Linked DNA regions of Drosophila melanogaster. The protein of the gene in region 2 interacts with the protein of the main gene of each other region in a pairwise test. Each region holds a gene or a part of one and is shown on either strand. Other genes may lie near its edges. The genes, in order: Cp18 and Mes2.

Region 1 (6,389 bases), about 14 Mb from region 2:
TCGGGGGCATAGCTGCCGCGGTAACCGCCGGCGATGATCTCCACGGGGCGCTCATAACGCTGCTGACCCTCGGCTCCAGCAGCAGCTGCTGAGCTGGCGGCGGAGGCGGCGGAGCTATCCTGACCGTAAGATCGCTGTCCGTAGCTCTGCTGGCCACCGTAGTTGGCGTAGCAGCTGCCCACGATGCAGGCGCAGAAGATGACTGCCAGAGTCTGGAAAATCAGGAAAACTTTCAGTTAGCATAAGTCCGGAAAATGAAAGAGCGGCAGGGAATACGGAAGCGGTTCTCAGGGACACTTACAGCGAACTTGTTCATGGCTATGATGTATGGGTTTTGGCACAGTTGGCTGAATTAACATATTAAATGGCCAAGCACACTTCTTTATATAAGCAAATTTATTGTTGCACTCGAAACGTGATCTCGCCCAGAAATTTATCACGGCTCAAGAGCTGGCTTCGTCGTCTCTTCTCGGCCAGTTTGTTGGGGAACTTTCTGTGGATTTCTAGCTTTTCCTAGCCAGATATCGGGGCTCCACGTTGAGCTCGTTTCGGCTCGAGCAGGTTGCTCACCGCAGCGTATCGTATCGCCTCCATTCGCCGGTTGACCTTCGTTGGGGGTGGCAGATGCAGATGCTCCCAACTGAGGCCCAAAATCAATGGTTGCATTTGGGTGCGTGCGGGAACGCAAGCGGGTTAATGGGATAACGGGCCAACGACTGACCAATGGTTATTGGATATGGATTTTATAATATTATCTATACCTTCAAGTAAACAGAACAAACCAAATTTTAACGATAAAACATAACTTCAGAGTCTATGCCTTTATGCACATTGGCAAATATGTTATTGTAATATATATAGCCCTTTGTTTGATTATACAATTTAAGATGTTCGTCTAAGAATCTATTAGTGAAACTAAGGGTTTCATAGGTGACTAAATTCTTGAGTCACTGAAGCTTAACCTGTCGACTTTGTAGCTTAAAGTGCAATAGTACTTCTATATAGTATTGTACAATCTGCCGCAGTGAATATTCTAGCTGCCCCACTTTGAAACCCATCTTGTGTGTGGAATAATAATAATGACCCACCGCTAAATCTTAACCCGAATGCGCTGAAAAGTATGTCACAATGCAAAACACACAATACGTATTTCTTTTCGGTATTTTCCATTGCGTTCAAGCTGCTTTTATTCACTGATTCTCAGAGTTTCGCCATGACAGCCACTCGAGGATTTTAGCAAGGAGTCGATAGTTCAATTCACTGCCGATGAAGCGAGAATTAGTAAGCACGTTGGCCGTAGCCGTGTCCGATCTCGTAGCCGCGAGCGCCATCCAACTCGTAGGAGGGAATGGCGTACTGCTTGTAGGTTCCGGGATTCACGGCAGCGGCGGAAGCGGCGGCAGCGGCAGCGGCACTTCCTCCATTACCCTCCGATCGCAGGCTGCGGGGATAGCTGTTGTAGCCACGGGATGGTCCGTAGGCGGGCACCTCCTCGTAGACGACGCGCTGAACAGGACCGTAGCCACCACCGTAGCCACCACCATAACCTCCACGGTTGCCGTACGCTGGGCTGGCGTTGATGTAGGCGAAAAGGGCCAGGGTAACGCAGACAATCTGAAGGTGAAAAGGGGAAATCCGGAGGATCAGTTGGCTGCCACTCCTTCACGGGGACTACCACAACTTACCAGGTACTTCATGGTGAGTGCTTAGTTTTGTTGGTTTGGGGTAATCAATCAAACTATGATTTACCGACCAGAAACGCTCGCTTTTATACGCAAATTTTAGCCTGGACATTTACGTGACCTATATACACTAATTGTTCTGTTTCAGCCCAGAAATGGCATTTCATAATTGCCCGGCTGGAATATACTCACATTTGATTTATGTACTTGTTGTCAAGCCATTATAAAATCGCTTGGTTACGCGATGTGCTATTCTACCGGGTGTTGGGTAGTGATAGCACTACGAACACGCGACTCTTCCAAATGGGAACCACGAACGCGTTTATTTTCGAATACAGTCCAAAATTTGTTGAATTGAACTTTATATTATCCACATTCTCGGGGGTAATGGTTTCCAGGTCGGTTGTGTCCGGAACTTGGCTTGTCTAAGTGAGGATTCTTCTAGAACTGGTTCCAGCCGGTTTTTCTGATAAAACCTATATAGAATCATCCCTTTAAAGTGACCACTAGTCACATACAAAACTTAAAATTATAACTAAAACATTTTAAAGTATTTCAATCATTTTGAAATTTTACAAAAACATAATTTCAAGCAAAACTATATTCTATCTAATCTCATTTTATCTAATAGGTTCTTTACTTATGGTAACTTAAAAAAGTCAAGGCTTATTTGACGAACTATAGTTTTAAAGTGGCCCCACAAATGAATTTAGTTTTAGCTTTTCAGCTTCATTCGCCATGAGAATTATTCTTTAGCACTTTAAGCAGCATTTTCATTTAACTACGAAACCACGAAATTTTTGCTGGCTCAAAGTATCGCTTGGCATTGCAATGAACCGCAAGTCTATGCCAATTCAGCTAAGATATGCAGATCTCAATTCTCGGCCCGAAACTAAAAACCCAGCAAGAATACAGTACTCAAAATTTTAAGTCTTGATGTTTTGGCTTTTATTATTATGACCTAGTTCCTTATGGGCAGGTAAGTTTTTGGTTCACTGTTCAACGTTTTGCCACTTAGTAGCTGGGCCTCTTGTAGCCCTTCTTTCCGGCGGCCACGGAGCTGGCAGCAGCGGCTGCGGAGCCTCCCTTCACCTTCTCGCTGTGTCCGTACTCCTGGTTCACGTAGCTGGTGGGGGGATAGACGGGCTGGGCGTAGCGGGGAGCCTCCTTCCAGACCAGAGGAGCTCCAGCGCTGGGAGCGGCCAGGGCGAGCTTGGCGAGGGCAATGGCCTGGGCATCAACTGGTGGGGCACCGCCGTAGCCGGAACCGGAGTACTGAGATCCCACATTGGCACCGCTGTAGGCAGAGGACACGGGCACAGGCACCGACTCGTAGGCACCGCCATATCCTCCATGGTTTCCGCCGTATCCACCACCGTATGAGGGAACGATCGCCTTAACGGTCAGGGCAGGCTGCACCTGGTAGGCATAGCCACCGACTGGGGCACCACCGTATCCACCACGGGAACGTCCGTAGGAGTTGGCCGAAACGGCAGAGATGGCGCAGAGGCAGATGCACTAAGGGATTCAAGAAAAAATTCAATTAATTTGGGTTTAGACTGAAGTGTATTAGAAAAGAAAGATCCAATCATATTATCCAATTATTATAATATGTAGTTATATTTTATTGAAAGGATCATACTGGACTCAGTTGAGGTGTCAATAGAAACAATATTGGAACTTAAGGCTTACCATGAACTTCATCATTCTGAGGCTGAGTTGGTTAGTTGATCGATGCGAAGGTAACTAATGTCTTATTCTGGCGCAATGTTTTGTTTTTATACCAGATCCAGGCAGAGGCCCAACTCTTACGTGACGAATATGATGCAAGTTTCGGCTCTCCGGGTTCCCGCAGACGCAGTTCCAGGCCTCGCCTCTTTGTCCAGCAATCTTGAGACGCCGCCGGAGACGTGCAGCCAGGCCGAATCCGCACTGGCCAAAATGCTGGCTCTCAATTCGGGCCGGTCCAGATAGCAGGCGTCTGTGCTTACGCCATCGTCTACCAGAGACGAGACCCATTACGTAAGATTCCGACCGCATGACTCTTCGTGCTCCGGATCCGCATAGTTTCGATCAGTATTGCAGTTGCTTTGCCCCACGGTGCCGAGAGCTTGACACCGATTTTTCAGTGACACAGTGAAGTCAAGGCAGTGGCCTGAAAATTCTGCTGCGTTGGTAGAATTTATATACAAAAGCAAAAAAAATTGAGATAAAATTACAATAAAATTATAAACACAACCGTTCCACTTTCCAAACTGCCGCACTAAGCTTTTTATAACATTCAATTGGCGCTACACAAATTGTGAATGGCTTATGGGCGGGCGCAAACATTTAATAATGAATAATAAATTATTTAGATGTTGGCCAGGCTCAGGGTACCAGCATCCAGTAGCCAGAAGACGAGTGAAAACGATCTTTCTCCGTATGCATTTTCTCTTCAAGATTGCTTTATTGGGATTTAAGCTAGTTGCTTTGCTCTTAGGAATTAAGTAAAAATATTATAAGACTGGAAACTGGAACTAGCGCCAACGACGACACGATAAATATTAAATAGTAACATTATTCGCAATACAATGCAAATGTAAGTCGGCTGAAACCTCAAGCCAAGATTGACGGATCTGAACATCCATCACAAGTCCGATATAGCCAGCTTGTTGAACAAGATATTTAGCGGAGGCTAATCTAGATAAACGACACGTTTGGGCCAGGGCCCTCAGACTTTATAAGAGCCGAGCTGCCGATGACAAGATCAGAAAACTGTCTCCAAACGCTTACAAAATGAGTAGTCTGCGTTGCAAGGTGAGATGAGATGATTATGGTTTCATCGGCATGGACACATTAATGGTAATTTCAATCTGCAGATCCTACAGTTGGCTGTGCTGCTTGTACTGGCTGCTTTGCAGATCGGAGCAGATCATTTGGAGAGCGATGAATGCGGCTGCGGGCGGCGGGGCTGAGATGATACATCAATAAACAAGCGTCAAGCAATGCATACAATTCGAACTGTTGTGGGTTCTGGGGCAAAACCTATCAGAAGACACGTACGGCTGGTCGCGGGGCCAGCTGTGTTTCGCACATGGCCCGTAGCCGGGCGAGCAGCATGTGCAAATGCTTTAAGCAAGCTGTCGACGATTGCTGGGCCCCTAGGCCATGTTTCCCAGTCAAGGTTTCCATATACATGCGCTTGTACAGCTTTGACAACTGCTTGGGATCCTTGCCGGCCAGCGTGAGCTTCGTAAGCGTCTTCAGCGCATTCTGCAGGCGGCTTTCAAAGAGCGTCAAATGGCCGGCGAACTCGTCATCGGCCACTTGGCCACTGTTAGTATCGATGACGTGGGCAAATATGAGGTGACACTGTAAACAAATTTCCAAAGCCGCTTGCATTTGCTTGATCTTCTGTGCGGTGTGAGTGGAAACTGCCGGAAAATTGAATTAATTTATTTTCTAACTCTTAGTGGCCTTTACCATCTGGTATACTCACGTTCGGCCAGAAATTCATGAAGGGAAATCCGCTCTAGCTGCACCACCAACAGGTCTCCCACCTCCTTAAGGCTCTCTAGAATTTGAGTGGCCTTCTCGTAGTGGTATTTACAGAGCTGTAGAGTAGATTTGGGCAGCTGAGAGAAATCACAACAGCCATGAGAACGCAGCTGCGAGTAGTGGAAGGAAGCAATCCTGGAAAAGTCAATAATTGTTTTTATGCATTTGCTAATTGCAACTCATAGTCCTCCGTCCTACCTTTTGTGTATTAAGCCCGATCGAAAACTGTATAGCACTTGTCGTGCACCAGGGTGTTCGACATCACAAAGTCGCAACGATTTCTGAAGCAATTCCAGCACTTCTTTGGAGGCGTCAACTAGGCTGGATTTGTCTGCTGCGCTGTGGTCCTGAAGTTGTTTAGCTAACGTAAAAGTGGCAGTGGATAATTCCCAATGGACGAGGTCCCATAGTTCGGGGTTTGCTTTACGAGTATCCAGACAATCTTTGGCCTTCACGTAATAGCTGAATGCCTCGTTGTAGAAGGCTTTTTGGCTTTCTAAGGTTATGGCACTAAATGAAAAGGAGTTAAAACGAATCATGATTATTAAAACACTATTTACCTCTCATTGGGCATGATAAGATGGGCGCGCAGGCGCATAAATCTACCAATATTGCAATATAGAAACGCCAAATTGACATTATCTTTCACGGCAGTGAAGGCTTCTATTCCTCGACGTAGGCAATCATAAGAATTAACTGTCAGTTTCACATACAACGGCTCGGAAGGATCTGCCGTTGGGCTATCCTCCGTTTGGTCATTTCCAGCGTCTTTTGTGGACTCCTTCTTCTTCATTAACTCACTGTATTCCTCTGCAATTTATAATTTCCATTAGTATATATTTATGATTTCAATAGTTGCGCTGCGTACCTTGAGCCCAGTACATGTACTTAAGACCAAGCTCGTTCCGCACGTTTCCTAGTCGCCGAAGCAGTTCATTGCTTTCCGCTTTCTGGGCATGCTCCAATGCTTGTTCGTAGCACTTGCAGCTGTGCAGCATCACTTGCTCCACATTGTTGGAAGGCGCCAAGGAGGGCAGTTCCTCTTCTTCGCCTTCCAGCTCCTGAGCCAACTCGTCGCCGATGAAATCCATCGAGGGATCCAACTCCCCAAACTGCTGGATGTACTCCTCAATGGATTCCCAGTTTTTCGAAATCTGGAAAAAACAG
Region 2 (11,189 bases):
TCGTGTAATTTATAGGGTAGACCTTAAAGAAGTTTATGTTTATTTTTACAAAAAGAGAATAATAATGCAAATAACAAAGTATATCACACGATACTTCTGCAACCCGACGATTATGTACTATGCTGATGTTGATGAAGCCTAGCACCAGTTTTTCTATTTTCTAAATTTCTTTATTATAGCAATTTGCTATAGATGTCAAATGTTGATAAAACATATGTCAAAATTGTTAAATAGAAGTAAACGTTTCATAGAAGAGGCGATTTAGTAATTGTAATTTGTGTGGTTTTTGAAAATATATTAACGTGTCCTGAGTATTGTTATTCACCGATATGGTTCTAAGCCATTTCATAACTTCCACTGGGTATACCATGTCAGAAGTTTGCAGTGAAAGATAGTAGTATATATGTACATATGTTATATTCGTAATAAGTATCAAAAAGTATCTGCCAGTCTGCTGCAGAAACTGGTCTTGGCTTTAAAGCTTTCTACAAACAACTTTTATAAAAGTATTTTCTATTTCAGGCAGTATATATGTATGTAAGTTGCAACGGGCCGGATCCGAGAACTATATTGCTGATATATAGTTGACATACTCGGTCCAATTTTAAGTTCCAGTTTAACGAAAATGTTGGCTCTTTAAAATTGTAAACAGCCGGCCACGGTCATTGAACCCGCTTCTTTTAGCAACAGAGGTGCTAACGCAGGCAGCATCCCTTAGGGGCACTGCATTACGGCCTTCAATGAATTCATTCAGCTATTATTGCGTTGAAAAACCAGTTTTGGGCTGCGTCGAGGCTAGGGCTGAGTTTTGGCATCTTCTGCGCATGCGCAACGCTCTTTTTGGGTTTAAGGGTTTGAGGTAGCTAGATACCTTGGCCAGGCCGAATCTCTTGATAGGGGTTGCTTACCGTAGGTTTCGATGTGGCTATGTATTTATCTTAATAAATTTTTCGGTCATATGCAGCGATACCCAGGCTCGATTCGCCGTTTTTTTTGGCTAGGCTTACCCACATCTGCCTGCCATGGTATTTATACGTTGTTGTAGTCTTTTGTTCCTTTGTTCTTCGCCTATACGTCCTCTGTATTAATGAATTGGAATTCCTGCAGTCTTACTTGAGCAGAATTGGCAGGATGCTATATGGATGTGTTACAGGCCCAATGTGAGTGCTTTCCATTGTCGTAGGGCTGTTGTTGCTATTTGAGTATCATATTCAAATTTTGTTTAGTTTAGGAGCTTTAAGTATGTAGATTTACACCGAAACCAACAAGAGGAAAAAAATCCCCTTTCGCATTATTAATAATTTGTATACCTTTGCAGAAGGTACATTGATTTTAGTCAGATATTTGCCACACAGTAAAGGGGGCATTTGCAACCGTAAAAGTTATAAATGCTCCATCAATGTGAACTGCCTAGTCTATAAAGCTAGTCAGTCGTGAATGCCATAGCAATAATCGCAAGAATAAAATGGATAACAAAGTTTCCTGATTTGGTATCGATATAAAATATTTATTCCTGACTATAAATAATTTCGGATTTAAATTAATAAAAATCGGCTGATTATGTTCATGTTCGGTAGACACGTTTGATTTTTTTATATTTAAAGGTACTTTATTACTCAATATCCACCGAAAAACGGAAAACTTTTTCAAAATTTTTGATTTAAATTGGGCTGAATGGCCAAAACATTGTCTGCGTACATCGATAGCAAAGCATTACTGCCAAAGATGGTGTTTTATTCAAAAACGACAAATTGTTAAAGCTGTTCTCATTTAGTGTTCAGATATTGTTAATATTCATATCGCTGTATATGAAACTATGAGTAATATGCTCGCTTTTTTAAGTTAAAAACTTTTCTTTTCTAATTTCTACGTTTTCAACTTAACAAGAAGTTATATTATATATAGGCGATATAATCTGGGTAAAATAAAAGGTTATATAAAGAATTGTTTCATGTGATGAGACGTTGGCATGAGTATGAACTACAGTTGATCGACTTAAAACGAAATTAACATTTAAAGCTTAATTAATCTATGTTTCTTATTTTGCTATTTCTTGGTTTACGTCTTTGTGTTGTCTTTTCGTTGAGTTTGGTTCATTTTTGTTAATAGGAGCGAAAAAATTAGAGAATGTTTTAGAAAATCATTCATATTTGATTGATCCTTTTGGTATGGCACAGATTTGGCATTGGCAAGTAAATTTGTATTTCTTTAGGAAAGTAATATATAATGGCAAGAAAATTCAGTTATAAGTGCTCTGAGCAGCAACATCATTCCATTATGTACTTTTTTTTGGCTACTATAATTACACCCGTACACTTAGCGCTCTTCTCCTCCGCTGTCTATTTCGTGGACCCTTCGCACTGCTGCACTTGAACCAGTAAGAGAAGAATGCGATTCATTAAATTGTCCGCGTCCGAGTCCTCCATGCTGTTTAGCTTGGCTGAAATAAAGCCGCAGAACTTGGAGTTCAAAACCTCACGTACAGTTTGTGGGGGCGGCAGATCCAACCCTCCGCTTGCGACGCCCTGTTGCTGCCGGAGATGGCGGTGCTGTTGCAGCATTTGTTCTTCGTAGTCGTCACCATCGATAACCGCATCGCCGTGACCGTTTCCTTCCTCCAAAACATCTTGATCGACGTTACGGCGAAGCTTGCGGGACATGACCACATCGTCCACACCAACATTGGGGCTACCGCGTGAGTTGGAATCCAGAATCAGAGGATAAGGGAAATCTGCATCGATGGCATCCAACTCCTCCACTACGTCGGATGCGTGGGCGATATCTTCGTCCCCGCTGCGTATCGAGCTGTCGTCCATGTCTTCATAGCTGTGATGCTGTGCCCTTTGCTCGTTTCTCGTTGAGCTCACCCGACTGTCGTTGTGAGCCTGGTGAGCGGGCAGAGGAAGTGGCCCGCCGCCGGAGCTACTCCCACTTGTGCTACTTCCGGCCCCACCGCCCACCGAGAGATCCAGCTCCGGCTTCACATAGTAGTCGCAATAGTAGTGATCGTCGCTTACATTGAGCGAGGAGCACTTTGAGAGATTTAACACTGAGGCGGACTCGTTAAAGGAATTGGACAGCTTCAGGGTCATTGCCTTTCCCCCTGCAGCCAAGCTGTTACTGTTGTTGTTGTTGTTGTTGTTATTGTTAATATGGCCATAGGTTGTCAGGCTTAGATCGGTTGCATGCGAAGCGCCCCTATAATAGAAAGAACATATGTTAGAAGACTAAATTATTTCACATTTTAACGGGTTTAAGGTTGGGTTTTACTTTTGCGTCATATTCAATATTCATATTCGCAGCAAGTCTGCGGTATTTTTTTATTTTGTATTGATGTTAAGTTGAATACTAATAAAAATTTGATGAAGGAGGTTGTTTAAAAGGGCATACAAAAAGATTAATAAATTTATTAAATACAATAACATATAACCGTGACTAGTGGTTATGTACATTGTTTTTAATACACTTTAAGAACCGCCTACGTTCTTAAATTAAAAGTAGAAAGAATACTTTTCTTTGTCTCTCACACATCATTTATAGTATAACAGATTTTCTTTCTCTTATCTTAAATTATATTAATTACAATAAATAAAAAAATATTAAATAATGCTGGCAATAATCATTTGCAAAACGTTGGGCAAAAAATTAGAAATAGAATAGTCTGAAAGACAAATCAATAAGTTCGTAAAACTTTGCTAGGTTGTCATCAACTAATTAGCTTTGTTTTATGCCGACGGACATTGCGATCGGATAGTGACCCTGATAAGGAAAGCATGTTCGTATTAATTGTGAGTTCGAAAACACACAAAAATATAATTGTATTAGCCTTATAGAGTTCATATGTTTCCTGTGACTCAACGATTCATATCCCCATTTTGAAATCTTGTCTGTTTAAGGCAATAACACAAGAAATGCATAAACATAAATGTCTTTCAGTGTAGTATCGCTTCCTGTCTCTCTCCTTACGCGTCTCAAGTTTCAAGAGCATTTTCACAGGCAATGCAGCTGCCTGGGCCGGGTGCTCAAAGAACATCTGAACGTGGCTATTTTGGGCCTCCCCCATACCTATAGTTATTTGCCGAATGCAAAGACCTGGCCTAGTGGTAGGCACGGGCATGGGCGACCTAGAAGACAGCCTTATCACCGCAATCGGCTGCAGGTAGTTGACAATTGTAAAATTTGAAAACTGATACTCGCTCGCCAGCCAAGACCAAAAAACTCGCAGGACTAATCGAGTCGAAATACATTTTCACATGTTCCACAATCGGGAATGGCTTTATTTACTTCATTATTTTGACTTGGTTTCTTTTCGGGGTTTGAATCGCTCAGCTTATCATTATTTGCTTCCGCTCTTGCTTAGGTCCCAAGCCGTTTTCCGAGATTGTTTATGGGTTTTTGTGGTTTGAATTCGTTTTCTAAAATCTCTATCACCTGCACTTGGAAACAAATCTATGAATATTAATATAATAATAACATAATTAAATATTCCAATGGTCCGAATGAGATTTTAGATTTTTGCAGACCTAGAACTTTTTATTATGATTTATTAGGCAAGAACTAGCTCCATGCAAAGGCATTTAAAGGTACGAGAATCAAAAGGCAAGCACGGACTACCGCCCACTTTTCTTCTTCCGTGACGCATTGGCTAAAGCATTTCAATGCGAAATACGGCGGACAGTGATTTCAGGGCGTGGGGCGAGATTCGGATTGTGGGGATGACGGACAGCCAAACAATTTCAGCAATTTCGCAGCACATTTGCTTATTAAATCATAAGCGTGACACAGACAGAGCCCAGCAGAACTTTCACACCCAAGTGGCCTCGTGTGTGTGAGGGTGAGGGTACGAGAGCCCCCCATTAAGAGAGGACTGAACGACGAAAGCATGTGGGCCAGGGCAGCCTGAAAGAGGCGTCCAGACCCCGACTCTGGGTCTCAGCAACCCCTTGGCCGGGACGCGGCCGATGCGGCTGGCTAATGGTCGTGGGCATATTTTTAACCCTGGCCGAAGTCAGACCAAGCTATTCGTTCAATTACTCAGCTCACCCATACAGCGATCTTTACGAGTGTTCGGTGCTCATGTCATACACACACAGGCAGAACCTCGCTCATTTTCCCTTACCAGCCCCTTTCTCGCTCACGAGCTACCAGTCTTTCCCAACTTGGTCCACTCGCAATCCGTATTCTTCGGTGCTGATTGTCATTTTCGTAGTGCTCTCATTAATTTATCGCTCTCTCGGCGCCTTCCCATAGTCCCCACCCCTCTCGCAAGCACTATTCGATGGACTTGGTCTTGCGTTTGCAGCTTCCCTCAATTTCGTTTTTGGTTCAAGCAGCGACGATGCTGCGACGTTGTATAATATTCGCCGCTTGGCGAGATCTGTGTTATGGCTATGGCTGTGGCTATAGCTGCGGCTATAGCTCCGGCTCAAGCGCTGCCCGACTGGCCGGGCCCGTTGAGCTGTCTGTTATCAGCTCACAATAATAAAAATTTAAATATATACACACACCATGGGTGAGTGTGCGCGGGCATGTGTCGGGGCCGTCGACTGCTTGTTGCCCATGTGGGTACAGTCAATTGAAAGGAAATGGCCTTATTTCATATAAATATGTACATAAAGTACACACACTCACACACACACACACACCCGCAGCTCGAGCACGGCTCCATATGAGCCAGAACATTGGACGGGGCAGACTCTCGACTGAGACCATTTGCGGGTCTCTGGCCCGGTCATTCCTTTGTTCGGATTGGTTTTTTCCACATTACCGCTCCTTAGTGTCCATATGCCCCCTTGCCTTGTTTTTGCTATTCTTTTTCGCTGGGCAGATGTTTTCTCAGACACGGTGCTGAGATTTGCTCGAATTGTTGGGCGTTTATGCAAATCGACTGGGCTAAGGGATGAGTTTTGTACGAAGGCTCGAATGGAAGTGGAATTTCGTAGTTACGGTTCGAATAACTTTATGCTAAACTTATCACATGTTTTTTATGTGACAATTGTATGTATTGTCTATTCGATCTGAACATATTTCCGAATTCTCAATTTATTTAAATTGTCAGATCTTTACGAAGTCCGTGATTCTATGATTTTTGAAATAAATTTATTGACATATTTTGTCCAACATTAGATCTAAGCCATGACTCACAAACTCATACACTTCTCAGTGTACATAAGCTGAAGTGGCTACTCGCATAAAATGATAAGATTCTTGGAATTTCCTGCAATAATTATTTTTGATTGAGCCAAGCTAAACAACATTGTTCGCTTGACTGACTACTGACAAGCACACATATTTTTAGGGGGGCAGATTCGGAAAAACCTCTTTCAGACACAGGACTGGAAAGCATACAATACCTTCGACCAATGTAAATGATCGTTGGAAAGGTGAGTCACATTATTATTGTGTATAAGTTAGCTAGTCTTCAAACTGATGCATGTATTTGTTTCGCATGAATCAATCCGTGTATGACCAAAACAGAAGACCAATCTAAACCGAAAACTGTTATTCACGACTCAAGCCAAACTTTGACCGTTGTTCGATGGTTGTATGGTTAGTGACGGCTTATCAAACTCATTGTAATATAAGTAGCCAAATGTACTCCTGACACAAATAATGTTCAGAGTGTAAGACGATATTATTGAAGAACTGTAGTCGTAAGGGAGCATTACTTTTGAGAAATAACGGTTCCACTTTTAGATTTGTTTTGGTATCGATCTCCAAAAAGCAGAGGATAAGAATAAGTACGTTAATTAAGATCATTTTGGGAAAGGTAAATATTGCCTAGAAAGATTAAAAGAAAACTTGGAAATAAGTGCAATACGTTCTGTAATAATTATTCGTTGATATAGAATTTCATGTACTTTACTATTCGATTATAAGAATGACTCGTATTTCTGTCAAATTTTAAATTTAAGCGCTCTTCTCTCGTGTTCTATTATTGCTTTTGCTTTTGTAAAGCCATTTGGATGAAGATCATTTTTAGTGACATGATTTGTGGTGTGGCAATAATGGGTCAAGCAGAGAATGCAAAATTCATAACGGGCTCTATATTACTGGTCAACCCCAGGAGTCGATATTGGCATGAAACTTCCTTGACGGTTTTAAATTTAAGAGAATCACCTGGTCACCAGTTCACTAAAATACTATTCCTTATACTTACTTTCGTTCTCTGATGACATCGCGCAGGAAATCCATGGCCTCATAGAGACTCCACTTGGGCTTGAAGCCATTGCCCATTAGCTTGACGTGGGCGAGTTCACGGCGGTAGGATTCCCTCAAGGACTTGAAGGCCCGTGCAACGCGACGCCCGGGAGCGTTGAACTCGCGGCCTATGTGCTCCCAGGCTCGGTTCTTTTCTTCTTCGGCGCCCTTGAAATTCGGGAGACGGGAGTCCCAGAGAATTGGATTGTCGTGCACCATTTGGATGAGCTTCAGCTTGTCGGAGGCGTTGCGCCGAACCACTGTTGGGACACAAAAATGAATGCAAATAATATAAGTCCTCGAGTCTCGACAGTCGAATATTTTAAGAAAGCACGGTACAGGCACCTCAAAACTTCTATAAGTCGAACTTTTTTAACCCAAATGTACATACATACGTATGTACGTATATGTATGTACATTGCACATAGGGTGAACCGAACTATTTGAATAGGCAATGAAGAGATAAAATAAATTCTACTGCTTGTTCGACGTATCGACTTTCGACTGCATTTTGCATAAAAATTGTACATATATACATATGTATGTACGTATGTTTGCATGAATGTGGGGAATAAATCTGTGTACGCACATTTCTTTATCTTCTGAGAGGGCATGGCAGTTGCGGCGGCCAGGGGGTGGGGCTCCAACTTGGGCTTCATGTCAAGAGCGATTGCCGCGGCGGCAGCACTCATGTCCTGCAGCGAGTGGGTGGCGGTGGGCAAACAGCCGCTCACGGGCGCCATCAGAATGTTCTGGAGGATTTGAAGGCTTGAACTGGCCAGGGCTCCACAGTACTCTTTAGTTCGGACGCGATCGCGGTCGGCTGATAACGGGGCTGCTACCCTCTCACGACCAAGTTTAAACGGCAACTAAAAACCAAGACCAGAAAATAACAACCACCGCGGCAAGCGGGCTGCGCTCAGCCGTCGTCGACGCCGAGCCGGCAGCGCAGTTGGCAGCAAGCCCGCATTCAGAGCCAAAAAATCACGCGCATTCGACATCGACATGAGAGCCAGCTATAGCTCTTTGCGCTCTCTGTCTCTCTCCGGCCGTGGCTCGCTGCCACCGTTCCCGTTATCTGATCCAGACATATAGGTCTAAAGCGCTCTCCGGGCGCTGCCTAGAGCGCGACTCGCCGGATGGAAACCCCGTTTAATCGCAATCACAAGCCACAGAAAGTAAAAGCAAGCGAAAAGCGGCGTCGCACACACACACACACACAACAGGGAGAACGCGCAGAACGAAACAACAGAAAATGTGTGTAATACAAAAATCCGTTGACGCGTTCGCATTTGGTTTTAGCAGAGGAATTGTCGAGCGTTCGTACGTACTTGCATACATATGTATGTATGTACTACATGAATGTACCATATACACATGTATGTACATACATACATACGTACCAAAATACTTGGATAGCGTTTCTTGGCAGAATACGCTGCACTTCGGCCATATCAGCTTCAATTAATATAGGGGGGTCGATTCCCGTATCGGAACAATTTCGAGGAATTTAAAGAATTCATGACTATGTACATATGTACATACATTTATTGTAAATCTCCAACGCATTAAGGTTTTAGACTAACATAATAATTATAAGTTTACTGGAGTACACACATACATATAATCTTGATCTGTCCGCCTGTCCGTTCGCATGCAAGTTAGTGCGTTCGCAAGCCTATCCAGACGCCATGAAACCGTTTATTGGCCAGGTATCCTGCTCTCAGTTGTGAAAAGGGATTTGATTTTCATTTCATTTTGTTATATAAATGTAAATTTCCATCGAAATGACAAAAAAAATCTCAAAATTCGCTGAGTAACGGGTATCTGATAGTCGAAAGTAATCGACTATTGTTCTCTCTTGTTTTAAATAAATAAGAAGAGAGAACGCACGAGTTCCCCGAATATCAAATACCTTTTACTCAGCTAGTGGAAGTGAGAACGCGAAATTTCATAATTTTTTAGGACCATCGATAGATATTGGACAAGAAGAAATGGGAGGTTTGTGGTCGTTAGAGTGGGCGTGGCATAAAGTTTTTGTAGCAAATCGATAGAATTTTACAATACTAATAAAAATGTGAAAAAAAGATATAACATATTTTTCAAATGTGTGTCCGTGACAGGTTTCTGCGGCTTACGGTCGATAGTGGGTGTGGCATAATCGATAAAAATTTATAATTAAAAAAGATGAAAAAATATCAAAACTTTTTTAAAAGTTTTTTTGCAAAACCATACACATTTGCAAGACTAATAAAACTATGAAAGAATATCAAAACAGTTTTCAAAAGTGTGGGCGTGACAGTTTTGCCCGACTTGTGGGCGTGGAAGCAAACTGGCTCTGTGTCTATGTTTCTAGAATCTGTATGCATAATCTTGACCTTCTAGTTCTTATAGCTCCTGAGATTTCGACGTTCAACGGACGGACAGGCTATTGATCCTGATCAATAATATGAATACTTTCTATCTGTTAAATACTTTTTAACGAATCTAATATACTCTTTTATACTACGAGTAACGAGTATAATTACTGGAAGATAAATAATTTTGTGTAGAATTTACGATATAAGAGCACAAATTTGTTGTTAAATGTAAAGAGGGCTAAATATACTCATCGGACGATCTGATTCCATCAATGGCTGGCTGCTTGACTTAAAGATTTATAATTTTTTTCCAGGGGGCCTGGCCATAGCTTAAGCAATGAATAGTTGAAGAAGGGTGGGTTAGTGTTCTACCACAGTGTGTTTTTGTGGACTCCGCCCGTGGCTGGCTTCGTTCGCTGCAGTTGTAGAGTCGAAGTTCAGTTCATTATCGTATTTCCCCGTTTATAGAATTTACAAATGAACATTTGGATCACACATGTTGGTCTTGCCAAGGAGTGACAGGGAGGCACCGAGAGTGTTAGAGTGAGAATGCGTTTGAGCGAATGCGTGTGTGTGAGTGGCAGCACAGATAAGACCGTCCGAGGTTGTCTATTTTGTCCCCCGATCATTTAAGCCGCTGAAATCCAGTAACTGCAATCGACAACCGCGTCGGTAGGGAAGCAAATGGCGAACAGAGAGCCAGAGAAAAATGAAAACGCTTTGTCTGTACGTAATTTATGCCTAATGAACTATTTCCGGCCAAGTGTCAATTAATGTATTCTGTTTTGGGACAACAACAAGCAGCACAACGTGCCCGCACAAACGTTGTCACGATCATTTTTCTGGCAAAACTCTGCGATCTCCGCCCTATATCAGATTCCCCACCCTCCTTACCAAGGCAATAGCTTGCTTCCGCTGCTGTCTTCTCTTATCCACAGCTACATGCATATGTATCTGGCCAGATCTGAAGATTGCCTGAGCTATTGGACCGTTTGTTCACAGAGCGCAAGGGTATACAAGGTTAGTTTATCCACAATTTACTTACATACACACAAACTTGACATAGACCTGATATCTGGATTCCATCAAATCGAAATAGACGAAAGGAATAGACGAAAGAAATATAACATAATTCTCAGATTCGGGCGTTATAGTGGTCGTGGAAACATGAGTCAACAAACTTGCGCTGCGTCTATATCTCTGGAATCTCTAAGCTTAATCTCAACCAACTTCCAACTTTTATAGTACCTGAGATCTCGACGTTCATACGGACGGACAGACGAACGGACAGGCCAGATAAACTCGGCTATTGATCCTGATCAAGAATATTTATACACCGTATATGGTCGGAAACAATTAATTCTGCATGTTACATACTTTTCAACGAATCTTGTATACCTATTTACTCTACTTGCTGTCTCTCATAGGTCTTAACTTTGATTTTACAGACTAGCTTGCATTCAATTTATGGACCCCCGAAGAGACTATGTTTACATATAGAATTTAGATCTATTTCGAAAATTTCTTACATAAAAATTGAGAATTCTAAAACAACTAGTTATTTTTAAGCTTATTAGGTAAAAAATTAGATTTTAAATTGGATTATGTTGAAAATAAGTGCATCTTAAG

Evidence for each region.
Region 1: the proteins of Mes2 (region 2) and Cp18 interact in a two-hybrid assay, tested with the Drosophila melanogaster proteins (one large-scale study listed by BioGRID).

What each region holds. Positions count from the first base shown.
Region 1 is NT_037436.4:8,723,835-8,730,223, reverse strand, and holds Cp18 (chorion protein 18), read right to left. Parts: upstream 3,434-6,389; 5' UTR 3,390-3,433; coding exon 3,375-3,389; intron 3,201-3,374; coding exon 2,697-3,200; 3' UTR 2,611-2,696; downstream 1-2,610. Other genes in the region: Cp19 (chorion protein 19), read right to left, coding at 1-212, 302-316; Cp15 (chorion protein 15), read right to left, coding at 1,279-1,614, 1,686-1,697; CG43965 (uncharacterized protein), read left to right, coding at 4,461-4,481, 4,544-4,639; CG6511 (uncharacterized protein), read right to left, coding at 4,713-5,098, 5,164-5,357, 5,421-5,732, 5,783-6,032, 6,091-6,389. UniProt on the Drosophila melanogaster protein: Chorion membrane (egg shell) protein; plays a role in protecting the egg from the environment.
Region 2 is NT_037436.4:22,942,541-22,953,729, reverse strand, and holds Mes2 (Mesoderm-expressed 2), read right to left. Parts: upstream 8,074-11,189; 5' UTR 7,944-8,073; coding exon 7,790-7,943; intron 7,736-7,789; exon of another isoform or gene 7,546-7,735; intron 7,461-7,545; coding exon 7,160-7,460; intron 3,199-7,159; coding exon 2,340-3,198; 3' UTR 1,482-2,339; downstream 1-1,481.